4 linked regions of the Arabidopsis thaliana genome follow. The protein of the gene in region 4 purifies or fractionates together with the protein of the main gene of each other region. This does not show direct contact. Each region holds a gene or a part of one and is shown on either strand. Other genes may lie near its edges. The genes, in order: AT1G16700, GAMMA CAL2, GAMMA CAL1 and AT3G03100.

Region 1 (4,800 bases), on a different chromosome or scaffold from region 4:
GTAGTACAGCAGCAACTAACAGAGAAAAGGAAAAGAGTGCAAGAGGAACGAGTGAATGTGAAAAATTGAAGGCTTACATAGCGTCTCGCATGGACCGGCGAATCTGGAAAACATCATTGTCCATGGGAGCAAGTGTAACGTGAAATCCCTAAAGCAACACCAATTAACCAGCATAATCATAATCAGTAGTAAAACCAAGCATAAGCAAAGAAAGAAGATACATCTAAACCTCAGATGATAAAACCTAGGACTTCAATCCAACTTTAAAATTTGATACACAAAGAAAGAAGCAATCTTCCACCGCAAAGATCAGAGCCTAGTGAGGAAGATTCTTCCTTACGAGATCAAGAAAACGTAACCTATGATTACGATGAAGAAACAATGTCGCACGTCTAAACTCACGCAAGCCAGGAGGATAAGTAAAATGAGAAATCTCTGAAAGAGATCTTGAAACCGAGAAGTAAAAGAAGATGAGAAAGCGAATTTAAGACGAAATTCCAAATAGAGTAAGTTCCTGAGCTGGAGTTTCTGCCAATCAGAGGTTTTTACTAGATATGCAATTATGCATGTTCATGCCAGTCTATTAAACTACCATTTTACCCTTGTATTTCTCTGTATTTTACATCATTAATGTTCTCTTCAGATATTAGCAATTTTTTGTTAGACACTTGACCGACCGACACTGAGAGTAACAACACCATTGAATCATATCATAATCCATTTACCGCACGGTCCAGCTCAAACCGGAAACAAAGCCAAATTTGATTTTGCCATCGGTATGAACTCAAGAAATACAGATAGCAATAACAGTGCAAAGGCTGAAGCATCTTTATTTGTAACAGAAGCAAACGAAAACGTTTCCTTAAGAATTAGGCAAAAGGCATTTTCGGATCAATATTCAGCGGTAGAGGCTCTCCGACCTCAGATTCTCTGCAATCTCTGTCTCCCACCTATCTCCATTCTCAAGAAGCTTCTCTTTGTCATACAGAAGTTCCTGCACACCAAAAAGAATCAGAATGTCATTTATCGAATAATACACATCTAACTTTAAGATCATGGGCAATCTTATGTCTTTCTGAATTGTTTATACAGACCTCATGTGTCTCGGTTGCAAACTCAAAGTTTGGTCCTTCCACGATTGCATCAACAGGGCAAGCTTCTTGGCAGAAACCACAATAGATGCATTTCGTCATGTCGATATCATACCTGTACAGCTCCGAACAATCACTACACTACGAAATATATAGAAGAACCATAGAGACAAGACAGTATTAAATAATATATATATGGTTAATAAACGGGAACTTAGAGGGTGACCTAGTGGTTCTGCGGCTTCCATCTTCCCGCTCCTCTGCCTCTATTGTGATTGCTTGAGCTGGACATACCTGATGAGCAAAAGACCAGTATCCATGAAAAATCACACTTTATGTCAATATTGTGCTGTGGTATGAATTCTCGAGTAGCATAGACTTCAAAAACTCACAGCTTCGCAGAGTTTGCAGGCAATGCAGCGTTCTTCCCCAGTTGGATACCTTCGAAGAGCGTGTTCACCACGGAAACGAGGGCTCAATGGACCCTTCTCAAAAGGATAATTGATCTGCACAAAAGATAAAACTTGAGAATCAGAATATTTTTCTTTCAGCCTAATTACTAGAGTCAAGGGAGACAGCCACTCACTGTAACTTTTGGATCAAAGAAGTACTTGAGGGTCAGTGACAAACCCCTGACCATTTCAGTGAGAAATAGGGTGTTCATGCTCCGTTCAAAGACTGTAAAAGTAAGAAACATCAGGAATCGCTAAGACTCGCAGAAGGAAGTAATCAGGAAGGAATGCTAAGAGAATAGAAAGGTTGAAAAGTGTCTGGATCAAATAGCTTACCAGTACTCCAGTCCTTGGAGATCTCTTTAGCAAGCTGCTCAGCTTCTTCATCATCTACATATTACCAGAGGCAAAGGATTAGTAACCTATATTCCTGAAAAGTCATAGCCTAAATTAACCAAGAGAACCCAAATGGAAGCAACAAAATTTATACCTTTGTTGCTTCCATAAGATATAGCACGGGACTGTAGCCCACAGAGATGAGATCCCTGTAAACCTTGCCCTGAAAAAGCCTATCAACAAAGACAAGGTAGATGTTAAATGCGAGAAGAATTCCATAGCATAGCCACCAAAAGAGCTATTGAAAGTAAAAGTTAACTACCACGACGCTCTCAGTTAAAGTATTTATATTTGCAGAGATTGAGATAACAACATTTAGGCGATACATTCTCTCTTCAAGGAAGAGTATATGATCTAAAGGAAAAATGAAGCTTCACGATTGATGTACCAACGCAATACAAAGAGATGCATAGAGGAACAATACCCAGGAAAAAAAAAGACAAAAACATGTATAGCAGCACCACTTGCACATGCCTAGAGCCGGCCGGGGCAGACAATACCAACTAGTGATTTCAAAAAACTTAGCAGCAATTCCAAATTTCTAGGAATATAAGCGATATAAAATGGAAGAGCCTACGAGATTCTTACGAGATGTCGAGCTCGGAGAGCACTGAACGACCTGCGAGCTAGTAGCGAAGCCATCGATAGAACTCAAAATATCAAATTAGGGTCTCTCTTCTTCGATGTGCCTGATGTGAGAGAAGAAAATCCGATTAGCTGAAAAGCTTAATCAAGCAAAAGAAGCATTGAACAAGAGAATGACCAACGAAAAGCCTAAAATTCCATCCGAACCTTAAACGCGATACTCAAAAAAGCAAAGCTTCTGCACGAACCCAGAGAAAGTTCGATCTCACAAGAACATTGACACGAATCCTTTGCTGGTGATTCACGGTCGTCGGAACAAAATTCGATCAGATGTCTCTTAATTTACAAATTGACCCTTCTGGTTAACTACTTACTCAGCTCATAACCGGGCAATCAAACCGGTTATATTTGGTATGACAGTCAATTCCTTCCAAGTTTCACACATTTCAGGATCCAGGTTCTCAAGACGTGGACCAAACTAGACCATTGCTGAAAAAAGTTAATACCTGATCAATGGTCACTAACCGGACCTAAAGTTCACAAAGTAGCCGAGATTGATCAATAAACCGGGAAAACCAAAGACTACACAAAATTTAGAGGAGATACAAAGTGTTTTGGTGACAATCTTCACCACCACTGGGGAGGAACTAACGGGGATAACTCTTTACAATGAAGAAGAAGAAAACTAGTTGAGATGTTATGGTGCTATGTAGAGAGTGTTGCCACAGTTAATGTGGGCTTGGTTTAGAGGATTCCATCTATCAAATACAATCCGACCGCCTCTACCCATTCTTCCTTGAAACCGAGCTCTTCCACTTCTTGCATCTGATGGAGGGATGATTCCCGCAGCAGCCAGTTTATCGGGGACCAATGCTTTCGTGAACAGCATAACTGGCTCATTAGGATTCTACACAGAAACAACATAAACAGTGAACGTAATTCTCTCTTTTTTATCTTGTCACCAGAATGTAGTAACCTAATAGTCTCAAATGTTTCAAATACAGAGGTTCTGAAGAATTACCAGTTTGTGGAGCCATCCAAGTCTTCTCGCCTCTTGCTTTATGCTCCCGGCTTGAGCTCGAGCGAGGTTTGAGTCGGTGAAACGACGATGAGGGGTAAAGGAAGGCCTTGTACATGTTTGGGTGGTGGTCGGGTCATCGGAGTCCATGAATTCATCTTCGCTTGAGCCAAATCTGTAAGCTGTAGAGAGTGGAAACCCAGCCAGAGCCAAACTATCTTCCAAAAGTTCGGTTTCATTCTGCAAACATATCAAAACCCCACAAAAAAAATCAGAGGAGATCGAAATGCACAACTCTTTCTGGTAACAAAAGAACACTCGATGCAGGTTGTAGAGGACTACCTTATATTTCAGTTGGATTCTCTGAAGGCTAACCTCACTCGCCATGAAATCCCTCTTTTTCTCTTCTCTCTATAAAGATAACATGTTTTTAATCAAGTTAATACCTATGGAGTCTGCAGGTATCTCTTAAGATATCAATAAAATTACATTCAAGTCACAAAATATAGATGTCATTTAGATTACCTTAATAAGAGCTTCTAGAATGGTCTTTGCTTGGTCAAGATTGCGCCTGACCTAATAATAACATATCCCAGAACAGAAGAGAAGAACGTTTGAGAATCCAGGAATTATTTTAAGAAGTTAAACACAGATTCAGGTCTTCCCTTACCTGTCGCAGCTTCTCAAATGACTGCGCATTGTTTTCTCTCTGCTGCATCTGAAGTGAGGTCAACTATTGTTAGTAAGTTATGGTGCATTTTCCATACTCACACATGTAAGATAAGGAAATTGATAAACCACAGACAACAAGACAGCCTACTCTTCTTGCGTGTAGTCTATGAGCTTTCTCCCGTGGCCTAAACACATTGTACGGATTGGTATCATTGACCGGTGGTGGAGGCTGTTCCAAACAAAAAACACAAGAGTAGCTAATTTTCAGTACATTTCAGAATAAATTCATTTCTTCCACATGTAAGATTGAGACCAGTCCAAATGATATACCTGTAAACGCCGCAAGATAGGCTTCTGCCATATTTCACGCTAAAAGAATACAAAAGTCGAAGTTACTTAATGTTTTAAGCCTATGCCCAAAGAACCATTAACAACTTTTCATTAAAAAAAAAAAAATCAATTATCATCAAACTATACGACAACTATATCAAACCTTATTTTTCCAATAACTGTATATAGCGTGGAAAACTCCATATTTGATGGACAAATATTTCAGCGCCTGTAAAAAAAATGGAAATAGCACAAT
Region 2 (4,261 bases), about 17 Mb from region 4:
AGAAGGATACGAAAGATGAAACGTTGAGGATGAAGATAGAGGCGTTTTGGATGATGGCAAGTCCTAATAGCAAAGATGGAACAGATGATCCGTTGCTCAACGTGGTGCAATCAGAGTCGGTGGATTTGTCTGGGTTGGGTTGTGGTAAGGTTTTGGTAATGGTGGCTGAGAAAGATGCGTTGGTGAGGCAGGGTTGGGGTTACGCGGCTAAGCTTGAGAAGTCTGGTTGGAAAGGAGAGGTTGAAGTGGTGGAGAGTGAAGGAGAAGATCATGTTTTTCATTTGTTGAAACCTGAATGTGATAATGCTATTGAAGTCATGCATAAATTCTCAGGGTTTATTAAGGGAGGGAACTAGCTTTGTGCTCTCTAGAGATATTGGAATAATTTGGTACTACATATTTTAGTTGCGTCTCTCAGTTTCTGTAATGTTTCAGTGATTGGCTTTTCGCCCAAAGCAACACAATAAAAATTGAAGATGAAAATATTTTAGTACGAGATGTTTAATTCTATAACACTACGAGATTATTAGCTTTTCCAATTGTGAGGGGAGACGAAAGAAGTTTTACACTTTCCAGTTTTCACCATTATCATCTTCATAGAAAGTTTGAACACAAGGATATGAACTTAAACAAAACAAACAGAGAAGACAACATTTGAAACACAGCTCTGCTCTTTTTCTTGTTCCGCAGCTACTTATTCAGATCAAATTCCGAAAACGAAGAAGCTTTCTTAATGAGGGAAGTAGCCAGAAACCTGGAAGAAGCTTTCTAGATGGCGATTCCAAGGGATTTCTTGAACTTCTCAACCTCTAGATAGATAGTTGAGTAAGGCAAGAACTCTGAGAAGTAATCTCCACTTAGGTGGTTAATGGCAACAGCAAGTTTCGGGATCTCTAAGGTTTCTTCATTGGTGAGTGTTCGAATAAACCTTGCTGGATTGCCTCCCCATAGTTCACCAGATGGGATTCTTCTGCCAGGTGGTAAAACAGAACCAGCTTCTAGGATTGAGCGGGTTTCGACCAGTGAACCTTCCATTAGGATTGAGTGTTGCCCGATGATGCATTCTGGTTCGATAGTGCATGATCTTAAAAGACTGTATGCACCAACTGTCACGTACCTATCGATCAATGTTTGTGCTGGTAATCCTGAAAAAAATCAAAGTAGAAAGTATCTTCTAAGATCAGATTTTTATCTATCATATCAAAATTCAAAAGCAGCACCACAGTATGCTCTATCCTTCAAGATGTTAGTATAGAAAAAGCATGAAGACTGGTTGATAATACAGAGCTATTAACCCGAAAAAATGGTGAATCAAGTAATTAAGTACTAGTTGTAAACTACAGCTTAATCAAACCAGGAGGCTGTTGAACTAAAGACTTTGACACGGAATCCACCTTGGTAAGACTAAAAGACGCTTATGTTCATTCAGCTTGACGCAGCTTCAGAATCTCGGTTCCAACCACTGAATATAATATCAACTTTCTGCAAAATTCTCTCCGCATAACTAAAAATCTTTACTATGACATAGTTCCTGAAACTTCTCCAGAGCTGCTAGGCAACTTTCTACAACTAAACAAGATGGTCTCCACCATGCTAATCTATTCAACCCCTGAATTACCTAAATTTTAAAATCAAGCACATATCATCAATGGGTTTCTTGCTTCCAATATCACTAATCACCTAAAGAACTACGCAATTCTATGCATCCTTGTCTAGCTAAACGCAAAATGCTCTGAAGATTAACTTTACTGAACAAATATCATTCATGATTCTTGATCTGGGGACATCTTCACTCCAAACAAATATGCTTACTTACACTTCACTACTTCAGATAAAAGTGTAAAATCTCCTTAAAGGTGAGACTCTACATTTTCCATAATCAAAATGGAAGATGAAAATGAAAACCCTAAATTCCAATATCAATGATTCCATTAGCTAGCAAGCAGTAACTACAGCAATTGGATATCCAGAACTCAAACTAGAAGCTACAATGGAACCATACAGAGACTCAAATTCCGAAAAAATGACAAAGAACAAGAACCTGTAGGCGACGACCACGCAGCATGAACAACACACCGTTCCTGGACATTTGAGCAGAATCCAACGGTGATCTTATTAAGATCTCCTCTCAAAACGGCACCGTTCCATACAGACGAGCCGTCCCAGACGGTGACCTGACCAGCCAACACAACGTTAGGTGCCACGTAAGCATCTACAGCTACCTTCGGTAGCCACTGTCCCAGAGGAATTATCTGTCTCTGGCCTCTGTAGTCCCATTTTACCCGATCCGGCGACGGCGTCACCTGCGATTTCGGTTTAGGTGTTTCCGTCGTCGCCACCGCTACTGCTTCCGCGGCGAAGTAACGCCGAATCAGATTCGATGAAACAGCCGATGTTATGCTTCTTTTAGAGATTCGTGCTAACGAAGTCGCCATTGTTATGGAATCGGATTCTTCAAGGTCTTGTGTAGAGAGAGAGAGAGAGAGACAGAAAGCTTCCCGGAGGAGGAGACAGAGAGGAGTCGTCGGGAGATTCTTCAAAATCTGAAAAATGAAACTATTTGGAAAGTTTTATTGGGCCTTATGGGCTAAGTTAATAGAGGCCCATTAGTCATGCCATTGTCTGCAACAAGTTTCATGTACGATATAATCTTTTTGGTATGGTATTGATATGCGTTCGTGTTCGTCGTTTTTACAAATTTTAAATGCTGAAATATGTTTTATTCCATAGTGTAAGAACAATATTTTCATATATAAACGCAAACAAAATTTTGTTTATGTTATAACCACTCTTTTAACAAACTACATGGCAAACACATACGAGTACATCAAAAAGCTTAGCTTTGTTTATTTTAAGCTAAAGATTACAAAAAAAAAAAAATTACTGCAAGGAGAATTTTGGATTATTGGGCATTGTGATCTCTCAAATCGATAAAAGAACTTCTTAAACCTCGAAGCTAACAACTGGCTCGCAACATTTGTGTGTAGCCTTCACTTGTGTGTTGATGATGGAGTCGTAGCAATACGCTCGCAGTTGTTCTTGAGAATAGGAGGGAAGAATGGGTTCAATGGAAACATATGTGGCCAACAGTTTGTATCTATAGCTGAAAACGTTTTACAACATGGGGCTTCAATGCTAGCAAACTGACCAGAAAATATCGATTTGTAGATTTCTTGTACACATCCTTGGACGTTAAAGAGAGATGACCAACATTTTATGATATCAATAGGAAGACCCGGTGGGAAAAGTCCGGGGATCGTAGGGAGTGCTTGAGAGAACCCTGGCCTCACTTGAAGAACAATGGTCATAGCTAAGATCACAAAGAGAATAGCTCCTGAGTTGTTTTCCATCTCTCTCAAGCCGGTTTTCTTCTTTCTCCTTTAAGGTTCTTTGCAATGATGTAGATGATTTTGGCTATATTCACGAAACTTAGATTTATAGGGTTATAAGATGAAAACAGTGTTAGCATAATAAGGAAGGGGTCAATATCAAATTTGACTACAAAAAGTAACTCATGACAAAGTTTGTTTTTACAATAAAAGGTTCTAAATGACATGCTTAAGATATGAGACAGAAGAGAGGCCAAATCTAGTTGTTTTACATGTGAATTATATTACAATGATATTTTTATTTCTTATTGTCCAAAGCGGCCAAACTCCTACAAATGTTACAATGAAAAGAACCGATGCAAGACATCAAAGTTGTGTCAATTATTCACTAAGTTCTGAGAAGAAAAACAAACAGAATCCACCAAAGTTTGGTCAAACCAAACACATTTCTCTGCAACTAAAAACCGCATCGGCTTTTTATTCAGTCCCATGTCCATCATCTTGCAGCTGCAAACCATCAATCGAAATCCTATATTAGCAAATAACAATTGCAAATGAAAACATATTTTTGTTCGGTTATCAAAAATGGTTAAACCTCTAAGCCATTCCACGCTTGCGTTTCGCCTTTTCCCATTGATCAAGTAAACAAGTGACACCTTCTTCAAGTGTAGCCTTCTTATCTGCTTTGAAGTTCCATAGCTCTGTTGTAATATACCTTCCACTCGGGTTATACTCGTTTATCTCCAACAAAGCTTTCGTGACCGCATTGTAAGGACCATCTCCCAAATCTGCCTTTAGCTCCCTCAGCTTTTCGTCTCTATCATCTATCACTTCCTAAACACAATTAACAACAACACCAAAAAAGCTTTTTAATCTTTCAGAGAGATTCAACATAACAAACAGAGTCAAGAAGGCGGTCTTACCACTTCTCT
Region 3 (4,159 bases), on a different chromosome or scaffold from region 4:
CTTGGAGGAGGGAGAGGAAAAGAAAGAAGTGAGCATCCAAAGATTTCTTCACGTTTATAGTTCGGTATATCTTATTGTCTCGTATACATCTTAATATTAAGGTGTCTGTTTGTTTTATGCTTATTAAGAGAATGATAAGTTAACTACAACTAGGACTAAGGAGGCAATAACTCTTGCTTTGCTTTCCATCTCTTATTAATCTTATCTCTTTCTTATTTTTCTTGCTTCTTTTCACTTTGATGATTTGGTTATGTGCAGGAACTTTGAATTTATAGAGTGAGAACAAAAGGGTGTTGATTTACGAATTAATTAGACATGAGTTATATGTTTATAACCTACAAGCAACGGAAGAATTTTAAAGATTTTCAAAATGTAACCCATATTGAGTAAATTCCATTACATAATTTTAGTTTGACCTACGTTCTTCATTCTGTCAAATAAAACGTCACAAGTCCTGTATAATTAATTCTTCTACACAATGTTCCTTTTAGTGATCCCAAATAACGAAAAACCATTTAGTTTAGTTATTTGTTTTGTTTAATTGCTCACAACAACAAAACCAGAAGTCGTCGCCATTATCATTCAGACAATATTCAGCCAAAATCAGTTTTAAATGGAATTTTACAAAGAACCCAAAAAACGAAATGACAAACGTTTTAGAACCAAAAAAGAGAGCCGGACTTGTTTTGATGTTCATCAGCTACTTATTGCAATATGCAGAGAGAAAGACCTCATATGATAGATAAACACATGAAAGTGAATCACGAAAAAGATGAAGCTTCTAAACGGCGATCCCAAGGGACTTCTTGAACTTCTCTACCTCTAAGTAGACAGTTGAGTAAGGTAGGAACTCAGAGAAGTAATCTCCGCTTAAGTGGTTGATGGCTACAGCGAGTTTTGGGATCTCTAGGGTTTCTTCGTTGGTTAGGGTTCTAATGAATCTTGCTGGATTGCCTCCCCATAGTTCACCTGATGGGATCCTTCTTCCTGGCGGCACAACTGAACCCGCTTCCAAGATTGACCGGGTCTCAACCAGTGAGCCTTCCATTAGTATTGAGTGTTGACCGATGATGCACTCTGGTTCGATGGTACATGATCTCAGAAGACTGTAGGCACCTACTGTCACATACCTGTCGATTATTGTCGCTGCTGGTAATCCTGAAATTTTAAAATAGATACCCCAGAATCAAATTTGTGATGTAAAAAAAGAACCAAGATATAAATTTAGCCTTGAAAGATAAACAAATAGTTTCATCAATGTGACAAGTTGAATAGATACTGTTCCGGGTCAAATAAAATTCAGCAGACCCTATCAAACCAGAATGGTCACTCTTCAAATGTTTTTACTTGAAAACTTCCCTTGTCTAAACCTTGGAGCAAAAACAAGTTCACATCCATGTGATACAGCTTTATCACCATTGCATCCCACTTCCAGTCACGAGTGACCAGAAAACCAAATCCTTGCATAAGTCATTAAAAAAACCAAAATCCTTTTATCGAGACATTGTTCCCAAATTTCTGCTAAGAAACTTCCTACTACTACACAAGATGATCGTGTGTGGTACTACGCTAATCTATTCAACTCTCAATATTAAGCTCAATCTTCAGTTAGTTTCTTGATTCCTGTAATGCTAATCACCTAAAGAACAACACGTTTCCACACACATAATCGGCGAAGTTAAAACTCATTATGCTCAAAAGAGTAAGAACAATAGCCACAGCCACAGTTCACTGGACGATTCTTCAAGCAAGAAAATCTGTACTCGAGAGAACACTATTATGCAGAACCAATTTACTTAATTGTCCATATAAGTTCTCGACTCTTCAATAAGCTTTTCATAACTGAAAATGGACAATGAAAACCCCTAAATCCCAATCAACATTGTCTTGATTCCATACAAAAAATTGGATAATCAGAACACAATTTTTTTTGAAAATGGAAGGAAGGAAGCAATAACCTGTTGGGGAAGACCAGGCGGCATGAACAACACACCGTTCCTGTACATTCGAGCAGAATCCAACAGTGATTTTGTTGAGATCGCCGCGCAAAACGGCACCGTTCCAAACAGACGAGCCGTCCCAGACTGTGACCTGACCAGCCAGCACAACGTTGGGTGCCACGTAAGCATCAACGGCTACCTTCGGAAGCCACTGTCCCAAAGGAATGATCTGTCGTTGGCCTCTGTAGTCCCATTTCACACGATCCGTCGACGGCGACACCGTGAATTGCGGTTTAGGTAACTCTGTCTTCCTCGCCAACGCCGCTTCCGCAGCGAAGCAACGACGGATCAGGTTAGAAGTGACTCCTCTCCGAGACAATCGAGCTATCGAAGTCGCCATTGCTATGGATTTTGGATTTCTTCAAGGATTTGCAAAGAGGAAAAGAGAGAGAGTGGTCGTCGAAAGATTCACCTGAAATTAAACGAGATACAGCATATTGGGCTTTTTAACGGACCACAGGCCCAATAATAGTAAAACGTCGTCGTTTCACTTATTAGGTGGATGTACATTAGGTGTCAAGTAGCATTTGAAAACCAAATTAAACCAGATCCCAAACAAACTCTACAGATTGATACCAGATTCAAAAACAAAACTGGATGTTGTATCATTTGGTGAAATTTTGATTATATTCACAAATCCGAAAATGTTACAAACAAAACAAATCCAGACCTTACAATCAAATTGAAATAAAACCAAGCAGCACCGGTTTGTCTGGCTAAACAGTTAACCGGAATAGATGTGGACGTTTATGGCGATGGTAAAGATAGTGATGAGACCAAAGAAAATGATGGCGTGAACGAGAATCGAAGCGCCACTCGTCTGCATATTACCGAATTCGACAACTCGACCTCCCGCCGGAATCTGGAAAAGAAGCCCCGGCGATAGAACTACGAAGAGGATCACGGCGATCAACACTGGGCCCCAATCCGCCATAACTTCTTGTCTTAAAGAGAGAAGAAATGAATTTGGAGAGAGAAATAGAGAGTGGTGAAGGAGCTGGAGTATTTTTGGTTTTAGTTAGAGACGAAGCTTCTCGTGTGATGTGAAAGCTAATGCTGTGGTGAACCAATTGATGGTATCCACGTGGACATACTTTAGGTTTAATTATAAAATTATTGTTTAGTGGGAAAAGATTTCGAACAACGTGAATCTTATACATATGGGCTTTGAGTTTTCGGCCCAGTATTATAATTCATAACTTATGTTTGGTCCATATCCATGAAGCTAAAGTAGCTTTGGTTATTGACTATTGTTGTGAGTGTGACCTCAATTCTTTTCTTTTTTTGGTCAAAATTGTTGTGACACCAATTCTTTTTCCTTTTGGTCAAAACTGTTGTGACATTGATTCATTTCACTGTTTTTAACATTGAAATATTCAACAATTAATATAAAGTTTGAATATTAAAATTTCTGTTTTTTTTTTTTTTTTTGGTTCACACAGATTTCACAACCATGGATGGAACAAATCCTTAAATACATTGTAAGAAACTGAAAATGAGACAGAATGGATATTTTATTTTCATTTTGTTTTTAGTCTACACGTTTTTATCCAGATAGAACACAGAACTTTTAATATCCTAATTAAATTAACCTGTTTTAAGAAAAAATCAGTTTGAATTTTCTGTCTTAGACGAAATCCAATTTGTCCAAAAAAAAGGAAAAAAAAAAATCCAAATGCTAAGAAGAAAGAGTAAAAGGCAAATCCAATAATCAACATATAAAAAATAAAATCCAGAAAAAGTATCAACTCGTGTGTAATAATGACCATAAATAGCTAATGACGATAAAACCCTTTGCCAAATGAGAAACAAATCTTTGATCCACTTGTCATAGTTCTCAAATATTGAGGATATAAGTGTCAATAACCAGATATAAGAAATCAATATATTGCCCCCCCAAAAAAAAAAGCAAAGACCAAAAAAAAAAAAGGTAGCGATCGTCCAATTCGACAGAGCATCGAAATCAAAGAATCCGATTGGGTGAAAATCGCAAAATAAAACGTGTTTTTCAGAGAGAAAAATCACAGAATATTTCTTGCTTTCTAATTTTCTTACATTTTCCCGTCACTTTCCCGGGAGAATCTCTGTAATCTTTCTCGTCTCACAAATCGTCGTTTTCTCTCTTGCCGTTATCTGTCTCACGAACATTTTGAGAAAGG
Region 4 (4,533 bases):
TTAATAGTGTGTTAGCATAAATAGAGAGAGTCAAACTGTGAAACCCTTTTTGTTTTTAAATTGTAAAACCAATTAAATGTTGATATTGGATGTTTCTGTTAATCAAAATTCCAGTTTCGTTTTTTTTTGTTTAGAAAGATTATAATTTTTTTTTATAACAAAGTTGACCATAAAAACGACAGAAGAAGGATAATTAAAAAACGTGGTGCTGATCTCGTTTAAATTTTTAATTACCATTAAAAACGTTTTGTTGCTGGCACTGCGTTCGATTTATCTGGTTATCATAATCCGTTTTGGGAAAAATCTCTCATTTAGATGTATTAATAGTATTAAGATTTTGTTGGAAGATTTTTTTTTTGTTTTTTGTTTTTAGATCATAAACTCTGTATTCAATTTTCTTTGAAGATTTTCGAAGAAAAAAAAAATCTTGAAAGATATTTTTCTCGATGAAGTTATTTGATTAATATATTTTTAAATACTTCTACTTATTAGAACTTTTCTACTTTCCTAGCCAGAGGTGAAGAAACAAGAAACTTAATAATCAGCAAATTATTACACAGTAACAATTACAATTCCAGATCCGAAACCCAATTGTCCAGCTTTAGATCCAAGACAGCTTTTATTAAAATGACACAGAAACAAAACAACAAATCACTCGAGAGAAAGTCTCGCAGAGCGTAAAACCAAAATATCATCTTCTTACTGAGTCTTGGTGGGTACCCATGATTGGTACCGAGTCCAGTTCTTTTGTCCCGGGTTCAAGGTATGTCCCTTCGAATGGTAGATGTATGCATCACCTTCTCCAGAGAAGTTCTCTTTATGCTCAAGCCCATACCTTTTTGGTTTCAAACTCAAGAGCTTGAAACAGAGACATTGGTATTTATTATCAAGTTACAAGGCAATATATTATCTATTGATTGAACGAGACAGCGAATTTGAAATGGCTCTTGGTTTTACCTCATCGCCAGTGTGATCAGTGATGAAATGAAGCCACCCGTGCCATTCAGCTGGTACTTGAGATGCGTTGTAACGATCCTTTGAAGCATACTCTACCCATCTGTGCCTACCTGTTCACAAAGTGATTGCTTGTTTCAATGTAAAAGCCTCTTGACTAAACATTCTATTAAGATACATGCAGTGAGCTAACAAATAACAAATGCTGAGTGAGTGGCTACAATTTCCATGACTGTACCACTCAGAATAAACAAACATTTGAAGTCAATATTAAAAGGGTTATTCCCTGAATATTTAGTAACAAATATCATGAATCCTACAGTGGCATCAATTTTTTTAGGTTAAAGCATGATTTTATATAGGTAAAACATGAAGTTAAAGGAACTACATACCGTATTGAGTATCGCCTAGCTTCTGGTAGTATTTGTTACCGAACTTGTCAACACCAACAAGTGTCGCTCCTATGTTATGTATTTTAGTTTGCCTTCATCAAATATAGAAATAAAACAGTATTGATCAGAAAATACGACTCAACAGCAAGCTACAATATAAAGAATGGGGAAACTATTAATAAGACACAATATTCAAGCATACTGTGTATATACTATGTGACCCATATATACATGCTTCCAACATCTCAATACACAACATAGAAGCAACACTAAGTATATGTTATATGTATATTACGCATAAAGAAATGATCTGAGGAAAAGGTTCTCTATATTCAGCCAAATGCACCAACTATCTAGAGCCTATGAGAACGACAAATCCAGCTTATAGACTTGGTGAAAGAGGCACATAAATTTTGACTCTTAAGATCTTTCAAGTTTCAAGACTACTTTGTAGGCCAATTTCATCACCATTAACAGGCCTCACCAATCTTTGAGCTCTTATTCCTCATCAACTTGAATAGCCTTATGGCATAATATTGTCAATTCCTTCAAACATGTAACTACACTATCTCTGGAATACCAACCATCATTTACTGTCACTGTTTCTTTACTGAACTCCAAAATCAACTAACATAACATCTATCAGCAGTCCAAGTCAAAGAATAGTAAGCTGTTCAAGAATTGGCGAGCTCTGTTCACAGTATAATGAATCTGACAAAATTATGTTCGCTCACACAACAACATACACATATAAGAATATGAAAATGAACTTGGTCTGTAAAGAACTCTTGAACAACCACTTGAATCATATTCGTAATCCACAAAGAAGTGAAACACTAAGCACTAATTATCAAAGATAAATTACTTACAAGAGGTTCCCATCTGGTAGGCATCTCCTGCAATGAAGAAAAAAAATTGAAAGAAGCAATTAGAGAAATTCCATAAACTAGTGATTACCTCGGAATACAAACAATAAGATCTTAGACTTATAAGCAACCAGAAACATTATGCCAATTTCAAGCATCACCATCACCGTTCAAAATTGATGTTCACCAAAAACAAAGTGTTTGATTTTCATTTCACATCAAGAAAATTTAACATTTGAGTGAAAAAAACCGAAGAATGATAACCATTCATTGCAAACAAACTTCAACAAACACCGAAAATTCTTGTAAATTTCTAGATTATTTGGGATCTAACTAATGAAATCGAGGGTATAATCCTGAAGAAATTAAGCAGAGGAAGAGAGATTGGAAAAGAGAGACAGAGAACTAACATGAAGCCTTCTTCTCGGATCATCCTCATGAAACCGCCGAGACCTTTCTCTCTAATCGCCTCCAACGCACTCTTCGCCACCGTCAAAGCCATCGTCTTCCGCTATCGCTCTCTCTCTCTCGGAATCGGGATTTGATTTCGTTGTCGAAATAACAAGGGACATGATGACGATTGCTAAACGCATCGTTTTGTATTTGTTGGGCTACGCTTTGTGTTTACCTGGGCCACTTGCTCGCTATGGCCTTCCCCATGATGATGTGGCAGAGAAGCATATGAATATACATTTTCTACTATGATTTGGTATATCAAGAAATACAAGATTTAAATCTGCTTTTCCCACTTTCCTCAAAGCATTAGATCATACATTCATAGGGTTGTAATTTTGATTTCTCAGTGAATAAGAAGAGATGATGTGTATTTATTCATAAGGAGTTGTTCAAAAATAAAAAAAGGAAATTCATTTTGTATATGTTATCAAAAAAAAGGAAATCACTACGCATTATAAAACCCAAAAAAAAAAAAAAAAAGGCCTTTTAAGTTTTAACACTACGCATTCCAATTTGCTATGCATTAGCTTCATAGCTAAATCTGTTTTTCCCACTTTCCTCAAAGCATTTGATGATCATAACATTAACAGTTCACTTCTCTTCCTCTCTTAGTAAATCCCATTAGCCATTTTACAAGCTAAGAGTACACAACGTATTATAATCATATCTTCACGAATGGTAAACTCGATTTCAATATAATGATAGATCTCCTATTGTTAAGGTTTTTCCAAGCTTACTCCTTAGCTTAGATTTCATGGGATCAAATGAATACTACTACTTAGTAAAGTTCCGTGTTCAAAAAAAGAAAGAAAGTAAAGTTAATATTTGGGGAAAATGCTATTAATTAATTAATGCAAACATAATAATATGACATAAATACATAAATCCAAAAAAAAAAAAAACACTCAATTTTATTTTATATAATAATATCATACAAAATCTAATAATGAACATCATTAAATAAAAATAATAAAGTTCTACAACTTAGTGATTGAATATAGCTTATTTAAAAATAAAACTTAATAATGTTTTTTTTTGTAAAACCTCAAAAAGTGTTGGAAATTTGATTAATCTATATGATTGCATTTCATTTTATAATAATCTTTCCTTAAAGTAAATCTTTGAATAAAATAAACAATCCTAGTAAATATTTGAGTAGCGTAGACTGTAGAGTATACAAATTCAAACCCTGAGGCGGTCAACGAAAAAAAAAGAAGAGAAAACAAAATTAGAAGTCAGGCCTTTTTCTCAGCGTCGCCTGCGTCAATCTTAAGCTGTCTTTCAAAAACCTCTCTCAATATTTAAACTGCCTCTCCTCCGTACCGCTCTACCCAAAAAAAAACTCTCTCCCTCTCTCTCGAACTTTGTCTCCCTCCATTGATTTCACTCTCGTATCGAGTCTCTTCTTCTAGAATTTGCGCATCCTCTCCGCCATGGCTGCCGAGAAGTTAAGAGACTTGAGTCAGCCGATTGACGTCGTTTTACTCGATGCCACTGTTGAGGCCTTTTACTCTACCGGATCTAAGGAAGAAGTGAGTCCCGTTGTTTATCATAATTTCTCTGAGAATTTTAACGATGAACGAGTATCGCCACCACATTAAGCGGTCTCTTATTCACTGTTAATGCGTTCTATCGATTTGGGGGTTAGGCGAGGGTTTAGTATTTGCGATACGAATTGGATGAGTTTTGCTTAATTCTTTTTCCTGGGTTAGAGATAGGTTTCGATTGTTTGTGGCTGTTCTTGTTATCTGGAAAAACACTAAACAATGTAATTTGTGTGTAAAAACGATGTTTGCATATGTGTGCTTTCAATGAGATAAGAATGTTTGAAAACACCTTGCAGAGAGCTTCTGCGGATAATATCT

The links.
Region 1: the proteins of AT3G03100 (region 4) and AT1G16700 fractionate together in Arabidopsis thaliana (co-fractionation; one large-scale study listed by BioGRID). This does not show direct contact.
Region 2: the proteins of AT3G03100 (region 4) and GAMMA CAL2 fractionate together in Arabidopsis thaliana (co-fractionation; one large-scale study listed by BioGRID). This does not show direct contact.
Region 3: the proteins of AT3G03100 (region 4) and GAMMA CAL1 fractionate together in Arabidopsis thaliana (co-fractionation; one large-scale study listed by BioGRID). This does not show direct contact.

Annotation. Positions count from the first base shown.
Region 1 is NC_003070.9:5,707,793-5,712,592, reverse strand, and holds AT1G16700 (Alpha-helical ferredoxin), read right to left. Parts: upstream 2,970-4,800; 5' UTR 2,732-2,969; intron 2,629-2,731; 5' UTR 2,582-2,628; coding exon 2,528-2,581; intron 2,113-2,527; coding exon 2,034-2,112; intron 1,934-2,033; coding exon 1,880-1,933; intron 1,770-1,879; coding exon 1,678-1,769; intron 1,598-1,677; coding exon 1,484-1,597; intron 1,386-1,483; coding exon 1,318-1,385; intron 1,207-1,317; coding exon 1,095-1,206; intron 995-1,094; coding exon 899-994; 3' UTR 550-898; downstream 1-549. Other genes in the region: AT1G16705 (p300/CBP acetyltransferase-related protein-like protein), read right to left, coding at 78-124; AT1G16690 (Enhancer of polycomb-like transcription factor protein), read right to left, coding at 3,222-3,431, 3,546-3,782, 3,885-3,953, 4,068-4,118, 4,213-4,260, 4,363-4,443, 4,545-4,583, 4,708-4,773. UniProt on the Arabidopsis thaliana protein: Core subunit of the mitochondrial membrane respiratory chain NADH dehydrogenase (Complex I) that is believed to belong to the minimal assembly required for catalysis. Complex I functions in the transfer of electrons from NADH to the respiratory chain.
Region 2 is NC_003074.8:18,033,281-18,037,541, reverse strand, and holds GAMMA CAL2 (gamma carbonic anhydrase-like 2), read right to left. Parts: upstream 2,608-4,261; 5' UTR 2,436-2,607; coding exon 2,042-2,435; intron 1,146-2,041; coding exon 769-1,145; 3' UTR 501-768; downstream 1-500. Other genes in the region: CXE12 (alpha/beta-Hydrolases superfamily protein), read left to right, coding at 1-356; AT3G48675 (egg cell-secreted-like protein (DUF1278)), read right to left, coding at 2,991-3,350; IDN2 (XH/XS domain-containing protein), read right to left, coding at 3,927-4,163, 4,253-4,261.
Region 3 is NC_003076.8:25,422,235-25,426,393, reverse strand, and holds GAMMA CAL1 (gamma carbonic anhydrase like 1), read right to left. Parts: upstream 2,428-4,159; 5' UTR 2,341-2,427; coding exon 1,959-2,340; intron 1,429-1,958; coding exon 1,348-1,428; intron 1,159-1,347; coding exon 782-1,158; 3' UTR 523-781; downstream 1-522. Other genes in the region: AT5G63520 (F-box/LRR protein), read left to right, coding at 1-94; AT5G63500 (transmembrane protein, putative (DUF 3339)), read right to left, coding at 2,725-2,934. UniProt on the Arabidopsis thaliana protein: Involved in complex I assembly in mitochondria and respiration.
Region 4 is NC_003074.8:704,865-709,397, forward strand, and holds AT3G03100 (NADH:ubiquinone oxidoreductase, 17.2kDa subunit), read right to left. Parts: upstream 2,834-4,533; 5' UTR 2,715-2,833; coding exon 2,623-2,714; intron 2,243-2,622; coding exon 2,216-2,242; intron 1,439-2,215; coding exon 1,347-1,438; coding exon of another isoform or gene 1,343-1,346; intron 1,068-1,342; coding exon 958-1,067; intron 859-957; coding exon 700-858; 3' UTR 517-699; downstream 1-516. Other genes in the region: XPO1B (exportin 1B), read left to right, coding at 4,102-4,200, 4,512-4,533. UniProt on the Arabidopsis thaliana protein: Accessory subunit of the mitochondrial membrane respiratory chain NADH dehydrogenase (Complex I), that is believed not to be involved in catalysis. Complex I functions in the transfer of electrons from NADH to the respiratory chain.